Diceros bicornis minor: one gene and its partner. The protein of the gene in region 1 purifies or fractionates together with the protein of each later gene. This does not show direct contact. Links are inferred from orthologs where the notes say so. Each region holds a gene or a part of one and is shown on either strand. Other genes may lie near its edges.

Region 1 (11,490 bases):
GGCAACCACCCCTTTCTTCTCTGTATCTCTGACCCTGTTGCTATTTTGTTTTGTTTGTTTTTTAGATTCCACACATAGGCGAAATCAGACAGTATTTGTCTTTCTCTATCTGACTTATTTCACTTAGCATAATACCCTCTAGGTCCACCCATGTTATCTTCCCCTATCCTTTTCCTCTCATATTCTCAACTCATTTGGGAGTACCACCATCCATCCAACCATGCTATAATCCTGCAACTCATCCCTGACTTTTCTGCTTTCACTCATTTGCCACATCCAATCATCCACCCACCAAGTTCTCCCTGTCTACCCCTTATATTTATCTAATCTGCCCCTTCACTTCATCTCTATTATTAGCATTGCCCTAGTTCAGGTCCCTATCACATCTTGCACAGACTATTAACAATAGACACCTAGCTATACTTCCTCCTTCTCTCCTCTCCAATTTCTCCTTCACACATCTATCAGATCTTTCAATTTTTCAAGAGAAAATGGAAATCTGGAGGGTTATATAAATTCTACTAATATTGAAACGCTGCTAGTTAATTAAAAAAAAAATTTTAAACACTGTGTTCTACCCTGACTTAAAGGATAGAGTTCCTCAACCATGGCAGAATAGTAGAGAAGTTAAGAGCACGGCTCTGAACTCAGACCAACCTCAAATCTTCAAATCCTCCATCTTGAATCTGCCACATACTCCTGTGAGAGCTGGGGCAAGTTATTTAACCTCTCTGATCTTCAAGGTTCCTTATGGATAAAATAATGATCAATACTTACCTCGCAGGACATCTAGAAGACTAAATGGAACACGGTATATGAATGTGACATAATCTCTGATACACAGTAGGTGCTCAATGAATAGCTATTTGAGGGGCTGGCCCGGTGGCATAGCGGTTAAGTGCACATGCTCTGCTGCGGCAGCCTGGGGTTCGGATCCCGGGCACGCACTGATGCACCGCTTGTCAAGCCACACTGTGGCGGTGTCCCATATAAAGTGGAGGAAGATGGGCACGGATGTTAGCCCAGGGCCAATCTCCCTCAGCAAAAAGAGGAGGATTGGCATGGATGTTAGCTCAGGGCTGATCTTCCTCACACACACAAAAAATAAATAAAAAATAAACAAAAAGAAAAAAATAGCTATTTGATAATGGCAGAGTGCTTCATAATATGGATCCTGCCTGCCTCTCCAGTTTAATCTATCACTTCTATCTGTCCCGGAACGTTACGTTCTACTTAAAACTGCTGTTTGTCACTACATTTCTTTATGTTACCTCTGTACTGTTTTCTTTTCTCATACCGCAAGTCCCTATTCATCCTTTAAAATTCAGGACAGTGGTCACCTCCTTCAGGTAGCTTTACCTAAACTCCCCAAAATGAGTTAGTACCCCTCTCCTCTGTCTTTACAGCGCCCCTGTGTATACATTTCACTTTTCTATATACCAGGACTCAACTTCCTAGACATTTCCATTCTGTCCCACTATTCTTCTCAAAGTTACCAATGACCCCCTTATTGCCAAATCTGATACTTTTCAGTCTCCATCTTCTCAGTAGCATGGACACAAGCGACCACTCCTTCCTTGAAATAATCTTTTCTTGTCTTATATGAATATCAACCACACTCTCCTGGCTTTCTTCTCATGTCTGTGGCTATAACTTCTCACTTTTAAAAACTCTTCTACAGTCGCCCTTTTCCCTTCTAGCTCTCAACTTCCTAGGTGAACTCATTCAATCTCACAATTATGTTTCTAGCTCAGATTTCTCTTCTGATCTTCAGACTTGTAGGTCTAATTGTTGATTTGACATTTCCACTTACTAATCTGATTCCACTCTCTTCCTCAACTCCCATACTCAATCCATCACCAAGTCCTATCATTTCTATTTCAAAAATGCATCTGGGGTTCTCCCGTTCCAACTATTTCCACCGCCCTCACCCTAATCTAAATCACCATCATCTCTCAATTACATCAATTCCAAGAGTCTCCTCACTGGCTTCCCTCTTCTCACTTTTGCTCTCCTCAGTCCATACAACAGACAGAGGGATCTTTAAAAAAATGTAACATCAATCTTCAATAGGTCCCCACTACACTTGAGGAAAAAAAACGAGCACTTTACCACCATCTGTAAGACCCTTCATGACCCGGCTCTAGTCCATCTTCCTAACTTCACCTCAGGGCACCCTATGCCTTTTTCCAATTTCCCCAAGTCATCAAGGCTTTACCTGTTTCAGGTCCTTTGCAAATTCTATTCTGCCCAGAATGCTCTTTCTCCAGTTCCGTCACATTCTTCAGGAACCAGTTTAAACGTAAGCTTCCCTGACCATCCTATCTCAAGTAGATTTCCTCTATTATTCTCTCAATACTTGTTTGTCTCCTTCATAGTACTTTCTATAACTTGTAATTATACATTTATTTGTTTTCAACCCTAATGATCTATATTTGAAGCAGGCAAGAATCAGGTATGTTTTGTTCTGTATACCTCGCACTTAGCAGAGTGTCAACTAGACAGTGTTTCAGATGGATGTAAAATTGATTGCACTTATTTTGTGATTTGTAATTACCATTTTACTTCTCTCTTCCTGCGCCACGCCCCCGCAGGAAATTGAGCTCTTCTCAAACTAGGATTCTCTCTTAGTTTTTAATTTTTGAACTATTAAAATCAACTACAGTATCAGCCTCACAGCAGCATGTAATTCATATTTATGAAACTGAACTAAATTCAATCAAAATAATGATGTAAATAAACAACTAGATGGGGCAGGTGAGGAGGAGGAGTACGGTGAAGAAGTGGGAGTTTCCAGGACATGTGGTGGTATACTATTCATTAAGACAGAGAATACAGCAGCAACTGCAAGAGCCTTGGGGGAGGGATGATAAAAAGTTTAATTTTAGACCAAGTGAGGGCTCTCAAGAATATAAAAGTGGATTTCCAGTAGATATTTGGAAATAAGTGCCTAGAGTTGAGAGAGAAGGAAGTCCAAATACGTAGATATTAAATTTAAAATCTTCTAAGGTCATAAACCATCCATGATTCCCCAAGGTTATGAATTTCTGATAGAGCTGTATAAATTGAAGTCATGGAGATGGATAATATCAATGAACTGATAGAAAAAAATAAAGGCCTGGAAGCCACTGTTCACATCTCTGTTGGTATATCCTCCCACTTGTAACCTTTCACTGCCTGTTTTACCAGCTGTAAAATGGGAATGACAATTATTAGAGGCTGCTGTAAAGTTTAAATGGGAACATTGTAAATTGTGTGACACAGCATCTGGAACATAGCAGGCCTAGCTCTCGAAGTTCATGGTTTTACTGGCACAAATCTTGAATAAGACAACACTCATTTATTCTATAGTTGTTATCAATGTCCCAGTCTTATCTCAACTAGAATGTAAAGCAGAGGCTTGATGGTCATTTTTTGTATCTTTCCAGGCCCAAGAACAGTACTTTCCATATGGTAAGTGCTCCATAAATATCTGCTGAATGAGGAAACTAAGGCACAGGTCCCAGTCATATCTAGTTTCCTTCTGCTAATGAGTCATACCAACTGTAATGATGAGTACAGTGTAATAAATCTTACAGGGGAGGGAAATGGGAGAGACTTGAAGTAAATGAACATTTAAAAAGCAGTTGTCTCGTCCAGTTCACAAAGGTGATTTTGTAAAAGTACCACAGTGTTAAGCCAGAACACACTTCTTGTTGAATTTCTACTTTTAATTTCAATTAATATGAAGTAGTTTAGTGGTACTCATATAGGTCTTATATGGCAAAACAAGTAACTAAAAGCAAAGGAAAAAGAGAAACAAGTCATACTGCAACAAAGCCATTCTTTAAGAATACTAAGATTTGTGCATTTCTGCAGTATCTAAGCAGAAGACCATAATTTAGCTTCTGAATATTTTCAACGCTTACTTCTAAATTAACTCTCGGCTACTTGTATTCATGCCCCCCCCTCAATTTAAATATGTGGGCGTTTGCTTACTAGGGGAATTCCAGGTTGTGCTTTCAGCTGTTGAGCTTCCCCCAACCCCCTTTGCAAAAAGTTTCACATATTTCCTCCACTGCTTAGGATCTTTTTATTGGTCCGGCTTTTGCTCCAGGTTGAGCCAGCAGCAAAGGAAATCAGACTCAAGGATGAACCCGAGCCGTCGATCCCTAACAACGCAGCTCCAAGGCGCAGCGGGGGAAAATCACCAGGGCACGGGCGAGGAGTGGGCGAGGAGCTGGCTGCGAAGAAGCGCTCCACTGAGCGAGGTTTCAGAAACCCTGGCCCTGCATGGAGTGATTTAAAACGTCGATTAACAGGTCACCGGGGGATCACTTCCACCAAGGTCCCTCGTATGCAGGGCTCGCTGCGGTCCCGCGACGCCTGGACCTTCCGCTCCTCCGACCCGCAGGCTCCTCGTCCGTCTCGGACTCGGACTCCGGGTTTCCGCTCTCCTGGTCCGCGGGGCTGCAGCCCACCCCCCCGCGCCCGCCCGCCGCGGCGCCTGGGCAAGGTTGTGCTACTCACGTCCTTCTTCACTTCAGTGAGGTCCTCCTCGGTGAGGGACGGCGCGGTGGGCTCCATGGCGGAGGCGGCAGATGGCGCTTCTTCCGGGTCGCGGAGCTCGGGCTGCGCCGCCCCGCCCAGGCTGGGGGCTTCGGCCTCCGGATGAGCGGGGAGACGGGGAGGTGGAGAAAGCCCAGAGGAAGAGGGCTGCCCCTTCGAAGACAGAGGGGATCCGTGGGTCAAACCGTGGCGCTTCCGGCTCTGCCCTTTAGGCCGACGACGCTGCAGACCTACGCGTCCCGACGCGGCGCTTGAGCAGCGCTCCACCTCCGCGCTAGAGCCTCAGGCGCAGGCACCGCCCCTCGGTGGGGCGGGGCCACCAGCAGAGCCCGCCCCATCTCTGCGGCAGCGAATCGGGGCGAGCCCGCGGGCCCAGACTTTCCCCGCCCCCCGGCCAGAGTCTTTCGGGAGTGGCTCCGCCCACAGCCTCCAGGTCGTTTGCATGTGGCCGCGGGTTGGCGTCTCCGAAAGGAATTATTTCCGTGGGTGGGACCGGTCGCTGCTCCGCCACCGGCACTCCCCGCCTTCGCAGACTGCTCGCTGGTGCAGTCCGGTCTCGGCTTGTCTGCACCTTTGAGTTCCTCCTCTTTTCCCAGACCCTGCCCTCCAATTTCCTGTTGCTGTGTTTGCCCACACAAGTTTTTAAATTATTTGGTCATGCACGCGCGCGCGCGCACACACACACACACACCCCCCCCACAAATACACAGCCTAACTACATTACAGAAACTTTGAAAAAGCACCTACAATCCCACCGCTTTAACACCTAGTTTAGCGTCTGCATACTTTTTGGTCACTGTTGATTGTAAACATACATATTTCCTTGTTTATTCATCTGTGTAATGATATATCTACCTCATAGAGCTGCTGTGAGAATTAAATATGTATATGTAAGGTTCTTAGAGGTACTTGGCACACAGTATGCAATCAATTTATTATTTATTATCTTGTCTTACTCAAACATTTATGGAGTCCTTATGAATATGTTCTAGGCATCTTATCCTGTAAGAGTTCTCCCATTTTGTTGGGGGAGACTGAAGGACAGACAATTATTCCCAGAATGGTATTCTAACAGAGGTGTATGCAAAGCAACATGAGTAAATGTGGGTGAGAAGCTTGAACAGAGCCCTGGCCCAACTGTTGTTTGGACAACATGCAAAATAACCGAGATGGTATTTGAAGCTACAAGGTAGATAAAAATGACAAGAGGACCAAAGACAAACTTGGGAACCCCAGCATTTAAGGGAAGGGAAACCAAGAGAATCAGAAAAGAACAGTGTTGCAAAAGCCACACCAATGAAGTTTTGATCACAACACAGGAATTCTGCTTTTAACACTAACATTGCATCATATATTTTTTTCCACCTTGATATGCCACATTTTTTCTGATTGCTTAATCTTCCATCCTTTTGGTACAACCCAATTTACTTAATCATTTGTTCTTTCATTTCACAAATAGTTATTGAATGTCAACTATATGCCAGACTCTGTTCTAGGGGAAACAGCTGTGAACAAAACAGATAAAAATCCCTTTCCTTCTGGAGTTTAAATTCTGGTGTCTTTGTGTTTGGGACAGGGCAGATAGATATTTGAAAAATGTAGTGTAAATTATTTGTTATGTTAGAAGATGATAAATGCTAAAAGGAAATATAATTCAGGGAAGTAGGATGAGGCTGTATGAAGTGGTAAAATTTAAAATATGCTGGTTAATGAAGACCTCACTGAAGAGGGGAGATTTGAGTTACTACTTGATGGAAATGAGGGAATGAGCCATGTGGACATAGGGAGAAAGAACATATGAGTAGACAGAAGAGCCAATGAAAAGCATCCATTGTGACTGGGAAGGAGATGAGGTCCTTGTGTGCCACTGTAAAAATTACTCTGACTTTGCTCTGAGTCATATTGGCTTACTCTGAGTCAGATGGGAAGCCACTGGAGGGTTCTGAGCAGAGAGGAGTGACATGATCCGATTTATGATTTGAAAAGGAGTACTTTCACTGTTGCCTTGAGGGGAAGGAGGATGGAAAAGGGGAGACCAGTTAGGGAGCTATGCCATAATCCAGCCCCAAAGGTGGTGGCTCAGACCAGGGTTGGTAGCAGTGAGGGTAGTGAGAAAATTTTGAAGAGAAGTGGGGAAGTGATTTCATTTCCTTTTAAAAGGATTACTCTGTCTGCTGAGTAGAGAGCAGACTGTAGGTGTAAGGGCGGAAGCAGAGAGCAGCTGGAGACTACCACAGAGATCCAGGCAAAGGTGAGGGTGGCATGATTGTGACAGGGGTGGGAGCAGTGGTGAGCACTCTCCCATAGTTACCTTAAGTTATTCCCAATTTTTCATTGTTATAAAAATTTTTTTCCTCTACATATTCCTCATTCTTTTTTCTTTTGAATTATCATTTGTTTTGCATAAATTCCCAGAAGCAGGAATACAGAGCACAAGGAAATGATGATTTTCTGTCTCTTCATGTATATTTCCATGGGTTGTCTCCAAAGTGTTGGTCCATCCGAGTGTGGGAATGAACTGTTTTGCCATAACCATACCAGCTCTGCTGGTGAAGGAGGGGATTCAGAACCCATCAGAGCAAAGTGATTTGAATGATGCCAATTTGACACACCCGTTTTGATCCAGCCATTATGAGGTTGCTGTTCTATTGTTGTTCTTTTTTTTTTTTGTGAGGAAGATCAGCCTTGAGCTAACATCTATTGCCAATCCTCCTCCTTTTTTTTCCCCCTTTTTCTCCCCAAAGCCCCAGTAGATAGTTGTATGTCATAGTTGCACATCCTTCTAGTTGCTGTATGTGGGACGCTGCCTCAGCATGGCTGGACACGTGATGTGTTGGTGCGCACCCAGGATCCTAATCCGGGCTGCCAGTAGCAGAGAACGTGCACTTAATCGATAAGCCACGGGGCCGGCCCCTATTATTGTTCTTTTTTAAACAAAACATTTCAAACACACTAAACTCTAAGGAAAAAATAATATTACAAACAACCTCTGTTCATTACCAAGATTTAACAAATATTGATACTTTGCCACATTTGCTTCTGCTATGGCTTTTGATTACCAAATATTAATGGGAGACATCTCTGATTCTTGAGCCTTCTTTCATTACCCTTGCTATACATCTGACTATTTCCTTGTTGTTGACCATCATTTCATTACTGATACCTCCAGCCTTCTTGCATCCTCAACATTCATTCCCTTATTTATTTATTCAACTAAAAAGTTAAATGTCTGCTATGTGTCAGAAGTAGGAGTTATGGAATGAGGATCAGGGATTGGGTGGGACTGGTGAGGAGCTTAGGAATTTTTAAAGCTGAAAGTTTAATATTTCATTTTTAAGGCCATGTCTCAATGTTTCCAAGTCAAACTATCTGTATCAAAGTAGCGATATCTGAATGCCACGTACCTAATCAGAGAGCTAGTTCCTGGTAGGCCTTGCAGTTCCCAATCCTGCTTTCTTTCTAGCGCATCGTACTTCCTTCATAAGCAAACTCATTTCCCCTTCTCTGCTAAATCACAGGGTCAGACTGTAATGAAGGTTGGGCATATTTTCAAGAAAATAGCCCTGCCCATTCTCTACCTTGCAATAATTCTCCCTCCCCCCACCTCCGTCCCCACCTCGACTTCTAGGTGCACCATCTCCCTCCTACGGTGAAATATGAGGCATCTGATAAATATGCTGTGAAGGATACAGTTAAGGTGCTACAAACATAAGGCAGCATATCATAGTGGCTAAGAATGAGGACGTTCGGCATCTGACAGACCTAGGCTGGTGTATTAGTTTCCCACGGCTGCCGTAACAAATTACCACAAACTGGGTGGCTTAAAACAAGAGAAATTTATTCTCACAGTTCTGGAGGCTGGAAGTCCAAAATTGGCAGGGCCGTGCTCTCTCTGAAGGCTCTAGGGAAGATCTTTCCTTGCCTCTTCCTAGCTTCTGGTGGCTGCCAGCACTCCTCGGCATTCCTTGGCTGGCGCAGCATAACTCCCATCTCTGCCTCCCTCTCCACCCGGCCTTCTTTTCTGCGTTCCTCCCATGTCTCTGTCTCCAAATTTCCTTCTTCTTATAAGGACACTAATTATTGGGTTTAGGGCCCGCTCTAATCCAGTATGACCTTATCTTAACTTGATTACCTCTGTAAAGACACTATTTTCAAATAAGGTCACATTGCAAGGTTCCAGTGGACGTGAATTTTGGGAAGACACTATTCAACTCGGTACAGTTGGAGTCTAGATTTGCCAGTTATTAGCTGTATGACCTGGGAACAATTAATAAGCATTCAGTAAAGATAGCTATTAGAGGAATGCAGAGGGAGGAAAGAGGAAACCATTTCTGACTGATAAGCCGACATGAAAGAGGTGTATTTAAACTGGGCTGGGGGATTTTAATAGGTGGCGCTTTAACTGCTGTTTAATGATTTATTTAAAACTTCCTGCCAGATACCAAGCATTGTATTGAGCAATGAATTCTATTCCAAGTAATTGTGAATGGTAAATTTCCTGTAAATAGTTAGAGGAAAAAAGTGGCCAGTTCTGAGACAGACACTCCTGGGTTTTAATGGCAAGACAATATGTGGTGGAATTCAGACATTTCAGCTCAGAGACTTTGTGAAGACTCCAGGTGGTGTGGTCCCCAGGAGTGACCACCAGCTTAGGAAGGGAGGACCAGGAGGGTGCAGGGTGGTGAGCGTGGACCTGAGCAAATGCTCTGAGGACATTGGCGAGTGCACCCTAAGAGTAGGACATTGTTGGGGCTGATGGGGGAACCTGAGAGAAGGGACCATTCCCTCTGCCTTCCCCCTAGAAGACTATTGGCTTGGAGAGTGAGGACAGGAATTTGGTATTAAAAGCTTGGATGTTTATGGGACAAGGTACCTCAAACATAGTTGAGGGGAGGCGATATCCCGTATACCAGCAGGAGAATCTTGAGGAAGCTGCTAGATCTTCCAGTTGTACTACTGTCTGGGAAGAAATCATCACTAGCAATTTATTTCATACTCACTCTGATCCAAGCACCTTATGTCTACTGTTGCAATTTAATCCCTATATCAGTTCTTCCAGGTAGGCTTTATCATCCTCACTTTACAGATGAGAAATCTGAGGCTTAGAAAATATGATTTGCCCAAGGTCACTCCTCTACCAAGTACAGAATCAAGATTTCAACTCAGCTCTGTCTGATAACAAGGCCGGTGTTCTCAGTTACTAGCTGTAGACTGAGCTAACTGCTTTAGGACGTAGTGATTCAGAGGAGCTGGGTTACTCCGACACTCCCTGGGGCAAGGCAAGAGGTAGAATGCATTCAGGTCTGTTCTCTGTGCCTGAGGTAGGAAATGGCAAAGCCAGGAAACTTATTATGGGATTTTCCAACTTCCTAAATGCAAAAGAGAACATCCCAAGATTTCAGGAAAGGGAGCTCTCAGGCTCTTGATGGACCCTGAACTGCAGCCTTATAAGAGCATCCTGCCAAGGCGGAGGAGGTCAAGGAATGGACCCCTGCTCCAGGCCTAGCGATGTAAGTGATGGAGCAGGACTCCAAAATGTAGCTTCAACCTAATTAAGCGGAAACCAAAGCTCAGGAATGTAGTAAGAGGACTTAGTGTATAGTGAGTTTCCACAAACTCACTCTCCTCTGGTGGATGAAACGATGATAACAAAACAGCTTCACAGGAATTCAGAGGTTCGTGGTTCTGTTAGATGGTACCTCAGGGGACACAGAAGGAACCTTGTAAATGAGAATGCCTGCTCCTGCTGAAGATCCTTGAGGCATTGTGCGCAACAGTGAGGGGGGCTGAAAACCAGAAGTGGTTAACTAATACAGGTTGCAGAAGGAGGAAGAGGGTGATGCTTGCAAACTCCGTGTTGGGCTCCATCACAGGCATAATTCCGGGAAGGCATATTAAAGGAGTAGCTCATGAATGCTTAGAGCAGCAGGGTGGGGTGATCACTGAGAGACAGCATGGCTTCCTTCAAAATCAGTCATGTCCTTTCCCATGAGTCATGGTTAGAATCAGAGGTTCTCAGTCTGCGCAGCTCATGAAAATCACTTGGAAGCAGATGTTGAAGTCCCACCACAGACAAATTTTTAAAAAATCTCTGGAAGCCTGAGTAGCTGATAGGTTTCCTTTTTCTCACAGTTATTGAGATATAATTCATATACCATACAATTCACCTATTTAAAGTATACAATTCAGTGGTTTTTATTATAGTCACAGAGTTGTGCAACCATCATCACAATCAATTTTAGAATATTTCATCACTCCAAAAAGAAACCTGTGCCCTTTAACCTTCACCTCATTCTTTCCATCTTTCCCAGCCCTAAGGCAACCATTAGTCTACTTTCTGTCTCTATAGATTGGCCTATTCTGGATATTTAATATAAATGAATTGATATAATATATGACCTTCTGTGTCTGGCTTCTTTCACTTAGCATAATGTTTTCAAGGCTCTGAAATGTAGCAGGAATCAGTACTTCATTCCTTTTTATGGCTGAATAATATTCCATTGTATGCCTATGCCACATTTTATTTATGCATTCATAAATTGGTAGGTATTTGGATTATTTCCACTTTTCGGCTGCTATCAATCATGTTATTATGAACACTTGTGTACAAGTTATTGTGTGAACATGTGTTTTCATTTTTCTTGGGTATATACCTAGAAGTAGAATTGCTGGGTCACATGATTACTCTATGTTTACCTTTTGAGGAGCAGTGGTAGTTTTGAAAACTTTCCAGTTGATTCTAATGAGATCATTAGAATCATAGTCAGGGCTGAGAACCAATGATACCGATAGAATGGTAAAACCCAGGACACACTCTGATGGTTTCAGGAAGACATTTGCAGCTTCAGGGAGACATTTCATAATCCTTGGGGATCCGGGTAGAACAGTGAAGTTGATTCATAGATGGTTTTCCAGCTATACCCAAGATACTAGTGATTGCTG
Region 2 (11,025 bases), on another chromosome or scaffold:
TAGGTACCATAGAGGCCAAGAAATCCCAGATAAAAGCCAGAGGGCTCAAACTTGTGGCCAGCAGAGGAATTATGTTTGGCTTGCACAGAATTGAACTCTAGCGTTTTACAAATTTTTTTAACTTTTTATTGTGAAATTAATTTATACATAGAGAAAATGTACAAAAATAACAGAGTTCCCAAATACCCTGCCCTCAACTTCCCCAAAGTTAACATCTTACACAAACATAGTACAATTACAGAAACCAGGAAATTATCATTGATACAATGCTGTGAATTAATCTACATGCCTTATTTGAACTTCACCAGTTTTCCAAATAAGTTCTTTCTTGGACCACAATTATTTTTAAATGTTTTAATTAACTACCAACATTTTTAAAAATAAGAGATTTCCCATAACATTCTAGATTCCAAGCTTCTCATGTAAAATCAGAAGATCAGGCAACACTGGGCTTATATTCCTGCACGACAACAATCAACTAGTGCTGAACAGGGGCTGTACCCTTTAGAGAAGGCACGTGCTCTCCAGTCTGGCATCCTGAACAGAGACTGGCTGTCAGTTGCTATTTATCACTAAGCTGGCACTATTGTTTTTCATATAGTGGAATTACAAAGAAAGTGAAATTGTTCTAATACCTGTGTCTATCAAAAGTAACAAAAATGAAAGGTAGGCAAAGAGCAACACATGTTTTAAGAAATATAAGAGCACTATATTTCTTTATGGAGGGAAGAATATTCCTACATGTTAAATATGTAAACAAAGTGTGTTTTTGTTTAAATGAGACACCCACAGTTTTGTTCATTTATATCACCTGTCTGGCCTCTATGCATTTGAGATTACAAACCCCTTACACAGATCCTACATTAAAGAAGCTCTGGTGTGGACACAAGGCACGTTTGTGGAAATTTAGGCAACAGTTATACAATAAACATATAAACATATGCCAAGATGCCAACCCTGGATCAATTCAAACTCTGTCTTAACCATTTCCAACACCTAGACTTCTAAATGCTGCTGGGGAAGATCTGCCACCTTGCAGACTGGGACCAGCAAGACTTCAGACTCTTCCTTGGCTGGCCCTTCGCCATCCCTTAGCAATTTTCCTTATCCCTAGCCCACTGCCCTATGCAACTCTTCTAAACCTTCAATCCTTTCCTCAAATTTCTCCTCCACTACTCCCCATCTCGCTTTCAGTAGATTGCTTGGCCTTCTATTTCTCAAAGAAAAGAGACATCACTGAGCAGTAATCCTTTCACATTCTCAAATCCATGCTTATTTCACTCACAACCTACTTGCTGCCTCAGTTAAAGACACCTGCCCCTTTGCAGGATCCCATCCTCTCTCATCGCCTCTGAAATTTTGTTCTTAAGCCCATCCCCCTCACTTCTTCAACTCTTGCTCTCTACTGGCTCTTTTCCTCCAATATAATGAGCATGCTTAAGTCTGTCTCAGCTTTCAAATGAAAACAAACAAAAAAATCCTCTTTGGCCCCACTTTCCACTGGAGCAACTACCCTGTGTCTCACTTTCTCTTCACAGCCAAGAGAACTAACAAGTGTCTATGGTTAAGGTCTCCCACTACAATTAGCTTTAGCCAGCACCACTTAAAACTACTCTCGATATTAATAACAACAATCTCTTCTTTCCCAAAACCAATGGAAATTTTTGCATCTGACACTGGGGCCCATTTCCTCTTAGAAATGTTCTACTGGCTTGGCTTCTGTGATACCACCCTCTTGGAATTCCTCTTTCCTTTTTAGTGGTTCCCTCTCAGATTGGCTCAAGTCCCCAACCTCTTCTCCTCTTACACTTTCATTTCCGTTGGGCAACCTCCCTTATCCCAGGGTTGTTGTGTGTCTCTACCTTCTTGGGCACTTAGCATATCCATGTCTCTGAGACTGGGGGGTAAGTGTGCCTTTTCTTTCTTCCTCCCCCTAGACTGTGAGCTCCTTCAGAGCAGAACTATGTTTCAGCTCTGTTCCAGCCCTCCCACCCCCAACATCCATCCAGCCTGCCATATAATACAGACACTAAGACTTTTGGTTGAAGAAGTGAACGTTGGCAAACTTGACTGAGCCCCTCCATGACCATAACACTCTCATTTGCATGGTATTAAGGACCTCAATTTCATGTTAACTACAAAGTCTGCTCACTGACGGCTTAATGGAGTCAGACACCTTGGGTTTCCAATACTATTCAGTCTTCCCATACCAGGGGTGTGGCCTTGCTTGGGCAAGTAACTCTCCCTAAGCCTGAGTTTCCTCACTGTCAATGGAGATAATTATGGTAACTGCTTAAGACGGTGAGAATTAAACCTGAAAAACACATGTAAAGTGTTCGACAGGGGTCCTAGCATACTGGTAGGTATTAGCAACACCTACTGTTAGCAATAAATAATAGCAAACAAATTTAACATTATTGTTAGTTACTCTAGCATCGGGCAAATGCCTCTAGCACTTTGCTAACTAGATTAAGAGCACTACAGGGTTTCCATGCTGATCACCAGAGAAACAACCAACAATCTGCTTTCTGCCACCTCTTGGAAACAAACATTCCTTCATTTGTTCACTAAATAAAGATTTTACTGAGTCCTTACCATGCCTAAGCTCTGCTTCAGGCTCTGTCCTGTAGCTTATTTGGCACCCTCAAAGACCAGGTGATACCTCTTGGCAATCGAATTAAACCAATTGTCAAAGCTCTCCCATTCCACTTTCCCATCTCCTATTCCAGTTTCTTTTAAAAGTAAAATGGAAACTGAACACCGGCAGGAAGGCGGACGGAAGGTGAGGGCAGCGCGGGGCGGGGGGCACCCTCCCTCGCCCCGGGCCCCTGCCCTGCGCCCAGCGCCTCCCGGCGGCGGGAGAGCAAAGTCTCGGCGGCGGCGGTGGCGGGGACCGGCCGGAAGAGCGCCGGGAGGGGAGAGGCCCCCGGGCTCGCGGGGGACCCATTCTTTTGCCTGTCCCTGATCGGCTCGAGAGCCAATCTGGGGCCGACCTCGGGGCCCCGGAGCGGCGTTTGGATACGGTGCCACCCCGCTGACGGTCCTCCGCCGCGGGCCCCGCCCGCCCCTCCACAAGGAGCAGCGGACGCGTCCCCTACCCGCGCGGGAGGCGGGGAGCGCTTCACGCACACAGACACACGCGACACACTCACACGCACACTTACTCGCTCACAGCCTCGCAGCAGCCCTCGTCACCAACCTGCTGCCCCGAGGCCGATGCGCGCCAGCAAGGACGTCCTGGCCGAGTCTTCTCGGGTGACACCCGTCACCCCGCCTGTTCGGGAGGGCTAGAATGTCACGCTGCCTTTTGAATGTCTCACCCAGCTCGACCCACCCACCTCCCCACCCCCACCTCCATACACCCGGAGTCCTGTACTCCTCCCAGTGGTTTGCATGTGCGCTGGTGCTTTCCTCTTAGGACTTAGGGGAACTCCAGCGGTAATAACCACATACACTTCCCCTTAATCAATGGCCTGGCAAACCCACTCGGGGATTTCCATGACCCTAAAAGAGTGACTATTTCTTAACCGTGGCGTATCCTCGTGGCATTTACTGAAAGACCTTTGCTTCATTGTTCGTGGGTCAGAGGAAATCTTGATAAGCCGTGTAGAGACGATGATCACTGGTCTGCCTGACCGGAAAAGATCCATCTCCCATGTGATAAAAAGAAAAGACAAGACCAAAACTTTGTGACATCTCTCTGATAATTTTTACTTTCTGTTCTAAACAAGAAAGTAAGGCAGGAATGGAAATGTAGGGGTATGTAAAAAAATCACACATTTTCCTTTTCAGTTTATTTTTACTGTTTTAAAGATTGAGATTACCTTATTAGCTTCCTATATTGAAAGTTGGGGGGGGGCGGTGCGCTTTTTATAACTAAGGTAGAGCTGGCTGTAAAAACAATTCCTCCTTTTAGCCTTTTATCTCACAGGAGGGATCTCTAAGTTATGGTGATATTCTCATGGAAACCTGAAGTCTGAGTCTCACTGCACTGCCATGTTTTCCTCAACATTCTGTAAGCGATGAATTTGAGCAGCTTTATTTCAGGACAGTGCACGCCAGGGTAACGGATTGAGACAGCTCAGGTGATTTTCCTGTCTTCCAGTATATCAAAGGTGATCGGGAACCAAAGGCAGAACCCATAATATTATTCACGAATTCCTCATCCTGTGGAAAAAGGAAGGACGCCCGTTCTATTCAGTACAGTCAGGATGAGCTGGGGTATCTTCTAGGTGGATTTGGCTGCTCACAGCAGTTAGAGTTCCAGCTGGAATTATATCAAGAAGATTATCTATCATGTGGAGATTTCAATCCAATTTTGAACCTGCTAGTTCAAAATTTTATAAACCATTTCCCACTCACCTTTGAGATGATGGAAACCACTTTGTGGTCCTTATACACTTTTGATCAGGTACCTACCAAAAGAATTTTGAAAAATTCGACTTCTCTGCACTTTTTACCTTAACATTAAAACACAAACGCTGTGGTTGCAAAGGAACTACAAAATGTAGACATAGATATTTTAGATTAAAATTGATCTTGCACTGTTTTAAATTATTTCAATGAACTACAAATACCATAGCCATCTGATACCCATGATCATCCATTAAACAATTCATACATCAGCTCATCTTTAATAATTGGAAATATTATATCATTGCCGTTTGTCCTTGAATATTCTACTTCCCCCACAGAATTTTAATATATGTTTAAAATGGACATCTTTATGATCACTCTGGCACATATTTCTGAAACAAATATGTGTATAAATTGAAATTTAATTTTTTTCCTGTGATCATAAGACTCTAAATGTTAAAGAAAAATTTTTCCTTGATTGAATTATCATTGATACTACTTTCATTACTTATTACATGATTGGCCAAAACAATATAAATATGTTATAAATGTTGATAACTACTAAAGATAAAAAGTAAAATTCTATTACAAATGCAATCTTAATGGGAGTTGCACCTTATATTTGAACAGTTTTTTCAAGTATGTGTTCATGAATATTACCTATTACTGGAATATGGTAGGGTTCAGCATAGATTCTGTTCCTTTTTTTCGTTTCTTAAAATTATAAGCACTGAAAAACCTTTTTCACATAAATAAGTAGATAGGCCCAGAAGAAATGTTATTATATCAATTTTTTCACAATTTTTTGAACTTCTGTTTTATAGTCCAAAAACTCATTTACTGATCTTTAATCCAAAAATTTAATTAGTTATCAGTAGACAACTCAATTTGTTGAAATCAGTGACTTGGAAACCACAGGACTTTTGTTACCCAGATAAGGTTGCCAGAATTAGCAAATTAAAATACAGGACACCTAGTTAAATTTAAATTTAAGATAAACAACAGGTAATTTTTTAGTATAAGTATGTCCCTCTCAATAGAGTATTCACTGAATACATTATTCATTGATTATCCGCAATTCAAATTTAACTGGATGTCCTATATTTTATATGGCAACTCTATATCCAGATATTAGAGTCATTCATTTTCTCAACACTAACGCCAATTACTTCTAATTGTCCAGGAAGATTTTACACCCAGGGGCAATACACCATTTTAAAACACAAGATGGGTGAGAGGTGAGCCTGTCTTTTTTAAGAAGAGAGAACAACTGTGAAGAGGTTGGTGAGAAGACAGAACAGGCCTAGCAACCACAACAGCTCTTGTTTTTAGGCAGATCAGTTTTAGGAGCAACTATATGTAGAAATCGAGGATCAGGTGGTTAATTCCCTTAAAACTATTTGCGTTCCCACTTGCCCATTACTAAATCTTTGTAAAGACTTGGTAAGTTCACTCAAAGGAACACATCCCAATTTAAAGACCATGGCCTAGGAAATCCTGAACTGACTAGAACTCCCAAGTTCTTCAAACTAGTAAAGAGAGTTGGGATCAGACCTATGAGGGCCTGGAGTGGATCAATATGTCTCCTTTGCAACATTCTGTAACACAATTATTGATTTTTTTTAAGTAATTTTTTTCCTGTAACAATTCTAAGTTGCATATGAGCAAGGACTGTATATATTTTGTTCACTGCATTATTCTAGTACTAGCAGGGTACCTGCAAATGTAGGCGCTTAATAAATCTTTGTAGATGACTGACAAAAATGGAGTCAATCTATCCACTTCGGCCTTTTCTATTCTAAATCTGCACCCAAATTTTTGATAGTGTAATATACTTTACATTTTCCCTCTGATCCTTTGAATATCCCAAATATTTTATATAAAAACTCCCCTTTTGCTCCCAGCATCCAGCTTATCTAAATATATTTTCTCTCCAAATACTCTTTTACAGGCAGAAGTAAAAGAAATGTTTGAGAAAGTGACAAGGTAGACAGACACATGGCCATCACTATCTCTAGTTTGCCAGTTTTTCTCTCTGTTAATGTGTAAGCAGGGTGTGAGAAGTGTGTGAGATGCTTTTTCATCCCACTCCTGGTTTGGAACTTTGAGAACTCTTAACAGTGGTGTGTTCTCAATATCCTATTATTAAACAATCAACTTTAAAGTATTTTTTAACTTGAAGGTAATCATGATAAAAAATATTCTTTCTCTGGAAGGAATTTCACATAATAATAATGCTGTAACAACTTCAGTTCCAGCCTGATGCTATTTCACTGTAAGTTTTTACATTTTTAATTACAGAAATACATTATCTAGGAATCTAGGACTGAAAGTAAAAGTGAAATCTAACAAAAGAACCATGCTGTTCTGATCCCAAAATAAATGTAAGAATCATTGTCAATGCTAGGAATTTCCTAGTCTGTTGACAACTGCATATCTTACAGATAAAATATGATTAGATCAGCCTTGAACAAGTGCTGATGAATTTACAAAAAAATATCTTTTAGTACAGATGGACTCAATGTTCTCAATGTGGTGAAGTTTGCCCTTATAAATGGTTGGTTACTTTTGATTTCTTTGTTTGACAGTACTTTAATGACATATAATTTACACAGTCTAAACTGCAAATATCTTAAGTGTACAGCTCATGAATTTTAACAAATGTATATACTTGGGTGACCATCAACCAGAGCAAGATCAAGAACATTTTCCATCACACCAGGAAATTTCTTCACGCCTTTTTCCTGTCAGTATCTACCTATATCCCCCATCCTCCAGCCTCAACCACTATTCTGATTTCTATCCCCATAGATTTGGTTCTTGAACTTCATATAAATGAATCACACGATGTGTACCCATAAGGGGCTCTTTCACTCAATATAGTTTTAGTTTTATCCACATTGTAGCATGTATGAGTAGTTCGTTCTTTTTATTGCCAAGTGGTATTCCACTGGATGAATATACCATAGTTTATCTGTTCTCCTGCTGATGGACATTTGGGTTGTTTCCTGGTTTGGTCCCTTGTGAATAGTGAAGCTATGAACATTTCAGTTCAAGCCTTTTTGTGAATCTATGGGTTCATTTCTATTGCGTAAACACCTGGACATGGAATTGCCATTGGGTAGGTGTATGTTTATTTTTATTAGAAACTGCCAAAAACTTTTACAAAGTATTCGCACCATTTTACACTCCCACCGGCAATATATAAGAATTCTAGTTGCTGAACATCCTTCCTAAGACTTAGTATTGTCAACTATTTGAATTTGACCTCTTCTTTTGAATGTGTAGTGCTAGCTCATTATGCTTTTAATTTTTATTTCCCTGGTGATTAATCATGTTGAATATATTTTCATATGCTTTTTAATTATTTAGATATCATCTTTTGTGAAGGACCTTTTCAAATCTTCTGTCCATTTTTAAATTGAATCAATTGACATTTTATTATTGATTTAAGGGCGTTCTTTACATATTCTGGATATGAGTCCTTTGTTATGTGCATTGTGAATACTTTCTCCAAATTGGTGGCCTGCTTTTTGTCTTTATTAACAGTTTCTTTTAATGAATAGAATATTTTAATTCTGATGAAGTCTAATGTAACAATTTTTTTCTTTTATGTATAGTGCATTTTATATCCCATTTAAGAAATCTTTACCTACCCCAAGATCATAAAGATTTTCTTCTATGTTTTCTTTTAGAAGTTTTGTGATACTAGCTTTTACACTTAGGACTATGATTCATCTCAAATTAATGTTTGCATATGATGTGAGTTGAGGACCAAGGTTCATTTTTTTCTCTAAATATTATTCCAACACAATTTATTGAAAAGAATCCCCTCCCCACTTAAGTGCTTTAGTGTCTTTGTCAAAAATCAATTGAACTTATACACGGCAGTTTCTTTCTGGACTCTCTATTCTGTTCTATTAATCTATTTGTCTATCCTTATGCCAGTACCATACTGTGTTTATCACTGTATCTTTACAGTAAGCATTGATATCAGATAGCGTAAGTCCTCTATCTTTGTTCTTTGAAACTGTTTTGGCTATTCTAAGTTTTTTAAATTTTCATATAACTTTTAGAATTGTCTTCTGAATATCTTGTTAAAAGTTGCTGGGAATTTGATTAGCATTACATTTAGTCTATAGATCAATTTGAAAAGTATTAACATTTTAATGTTATTGAGTCTTCTAATCCGTGAGCATGGTATATTCCTCCATCTATTTGTCTTCTTTGTTTTCAGTACAAAGATGTTTCTCATCCTTTTGTTAAGTTTATTCCTATTTCATATTTTTGATGCTATTTTAAATACTATTTTTTAATTTAGATTTTCAATTGTTAATAGTATTTTTAAATTGCACGTTCAGTTATTTGTTGTTAGTATGTAGAAATAAAATTTATTTTAGTGTAAGTGTAGTAGTGTTTTATCCTACTACGTTGCTAAATTCACTTGTAGTCATTTCTTAGATTCTTCTGGATTTTCTTTAGCAAGCTATCAGGTCATCTATAGATAAAAGCAATTATATTTCCTCATTTCCTATTTTTATTCCTTTTTTTTCTTGCTTTATTGTACAACTCAGGACCTCTACTACAATGATGAATAGACTTGGCTAGAGTCAACATTCTTGCTTTACTCCTGACCTTAGGGAAAAAGTGCTGTTAACTATAGATTTCTCATAGATATTCTTTATCAGATTGAGAAAGTTTCTTTCTACTCTTAGTATACCAAGAGTTTTTTAAAATCATAAACGGGAGCTCTATCTATAGAGATGATCAGATAGCTTTTCTTCTTTATTCTGCTAATATGAAGAATTACATTGATTAATTTATGAGTATTAAACCAACTTTGTCTTTCTAAGATAAACTTCACTTTTTCATGATGTAATATCTTTATTACATATTTCTAGATTTAATTTTCTAGTATTTTGGTTAGGATTTTTGTGTTAAGGGTGGAAAAAGAGAGCAATAAGGGGGAAAAATGGAAATAGGATAATTGAGGTACCAAGAGAACACAGAACATCACTAGGACAAAATATTCAGATTTGGTGGAGAAGATAAGAACTAATTAAAAGTCAACAACTTATATTAAACACCGTTACTGTTTAGTGAAGAAAAAAACATGATAAAATATACTTATTATGTTTGATCCCATGACGTATTTCTGTGGTTGTTGTTAGTGCTGTCAAGTCAATTCTGACTCCTAGAGACCCTGTGTACAGCAGAGTGGAACCCTGCCCAGTCTTTTTGTGCCATCCTCTCTCATCTTCCTGTGCTATATCAGACAATGCTCTGCTGCTATTGCTATTCATAGGGTTTTCATGGTCAATTTTTTTGGAAATGGATGGCCAGGTCCTTCTTTCTTGTCTGTCTCAGTCTGGAAGACTCTGCTGAAACCTGTCCACCCTGGGTGATTCTGCTGCTATTTGAAATACCGGTGGCATAGCTTTCAGCATCCCAGCAACACGCAGCCACCACAGTATGACAACTGACAGACGGTGGTGTGGTCCCCTGACCAGGAAGCAAACCTGGGCCACAGCAGTGAGAGCACCGAATCTTAATCACTAGACCACAAGGGCTAGCTGAAGTAAGTATTAGTAGCAAAATTTCAGAGCCATGGGAGCTGTGGTAGTGGCCCAATATTCACATCAGCCAAGAATAATTAGCTGAAGTAGGTCACAGGTGTAAGCAGTTAGCAGCTTTCACAGCATTTGGGGTTTGGTGCATGGGGAGATCAAGCAGGCCAGTTCGTGACTGAAGGCTAAAGAACACTAGGTGTCTGCCCTCGGACCTGACCAATTTTTATAGGAGCCAAACCACATGATTTCTTTGAGGGTGAAAATGTTGGAGCTGACAGTCTCCTGTGCTGGCTAGGAAACATCACTCTCAGACCTGGGGAAGCTTGTTTTGAGCAAAAGAACTGGGCTAAGAAGACTAGAAGAGGTTGCAGGAGAGAGAATATCTAACTAGCTGTTGTGTTTAGGAGGACTCTAGTGTTGACTTGTTTTCCCATTCTCAAGGCTTTCTAGCCTTCCACTGCTGACTCCATGCCTGTGTAGGCTTGAATACATTTCTAAGACCCAGAAGTTTTAAAAAACGAGGTGATCAATTCCAGACGCCTACCTCCTTCATTCTATCATTTTCCCCACTGATAAGGTATAGGAAGAGGAACATAGGGAAATACCAGGATTCTTAGAGCCAAGCAGACTCGCTGTTGTCTGAGGAGAGGGTGTAGGATCACAACCCCTCTCTCAATGGCACTGGGCAAGGCAAGAGAGGCACATAGGGCACAAAATTTAAGGAGGTGCTCAACTCTCAGGGTTGTGAACCCTAGTCTTGGCCCTGGGCAAGTGCAAATTGTGCATTAAATAGGCCTTTCTGAATTGGGAGTGACAGAAACAAGAGAGTTCTTGTTGAATTAGTCTTGCAACCTCTGAATTAAATGGACATAAAATTTTCTCAAAAAAAAAAAAAAAGCTCTAATCCCTCTAGAAAAGCAGAAGGGGCTTGGCTTGGCAAGTCCAGGGCTTCCTGGTGGACAGTGCGCGAGGTATTTGATGGCAGTATTAGGCAAGTTTGCAGCAGGCCCTATAGTGGCAGCAGTGCAACTCTGGAGCCACTGGATCTGGCTTTGAACCCCACTCTCCCCTTCCTAGCTGATTGACTGCAGCAGACACT

Evidence for each region.
Region 2: the proteins of BCL10 (region 1) and BIRC3 purify together in Homo sapiens (affinity purification with western blotting; 5 studies listed by BioGRID and IntAct, with this or other methods). This does not show direct contact. The link is inferred for Diceros bicornis minor from reciprocal best matches to the Homo sapiens genes BCL10 and BIRC3.

Annotation. Positions count from the first base shown.
Region 1 is NC_080743.1:21,670,167-21,681,656, forward strand, and holds the start of BCL10 (B-cell lymphoma/leukemia 10), read right to left. Parts: upstream 4,824-11,490; 5' UTR 4,567-4,823; coding exon 4,510-4,566; intron 1-4,509. UniProt on the Homo sapiens protein: Plays a key role in both adaptive and innate immune signaling by bridging CARD domain-containing proteins to immune activation.
Region 2 is NC_080746.1:32,653,323-32,664,347, forward strand, and holds the start of BIRC3 (baculoviral IAP repeat-containing protein 3), read right to left. Parts: upstream 4,284-11,025; 5' UTR 3,562-4,283; intron 3,275-3,561; 5' UTR 3,200-3,274; exon of another isoform or gene 3,165-3,199; intron 2,707-3,164; exon of another isoform or gene 2,596-2,706; intron 1-2,595. UniProt on the Homo sapiens protein: Multi-functional protein which regulates not only caspases and apoptosis, but also modulates inflammatory signaling and immunity, mitogenic kinase signaling and cell proliferation, as well as cell invasion and metastasis.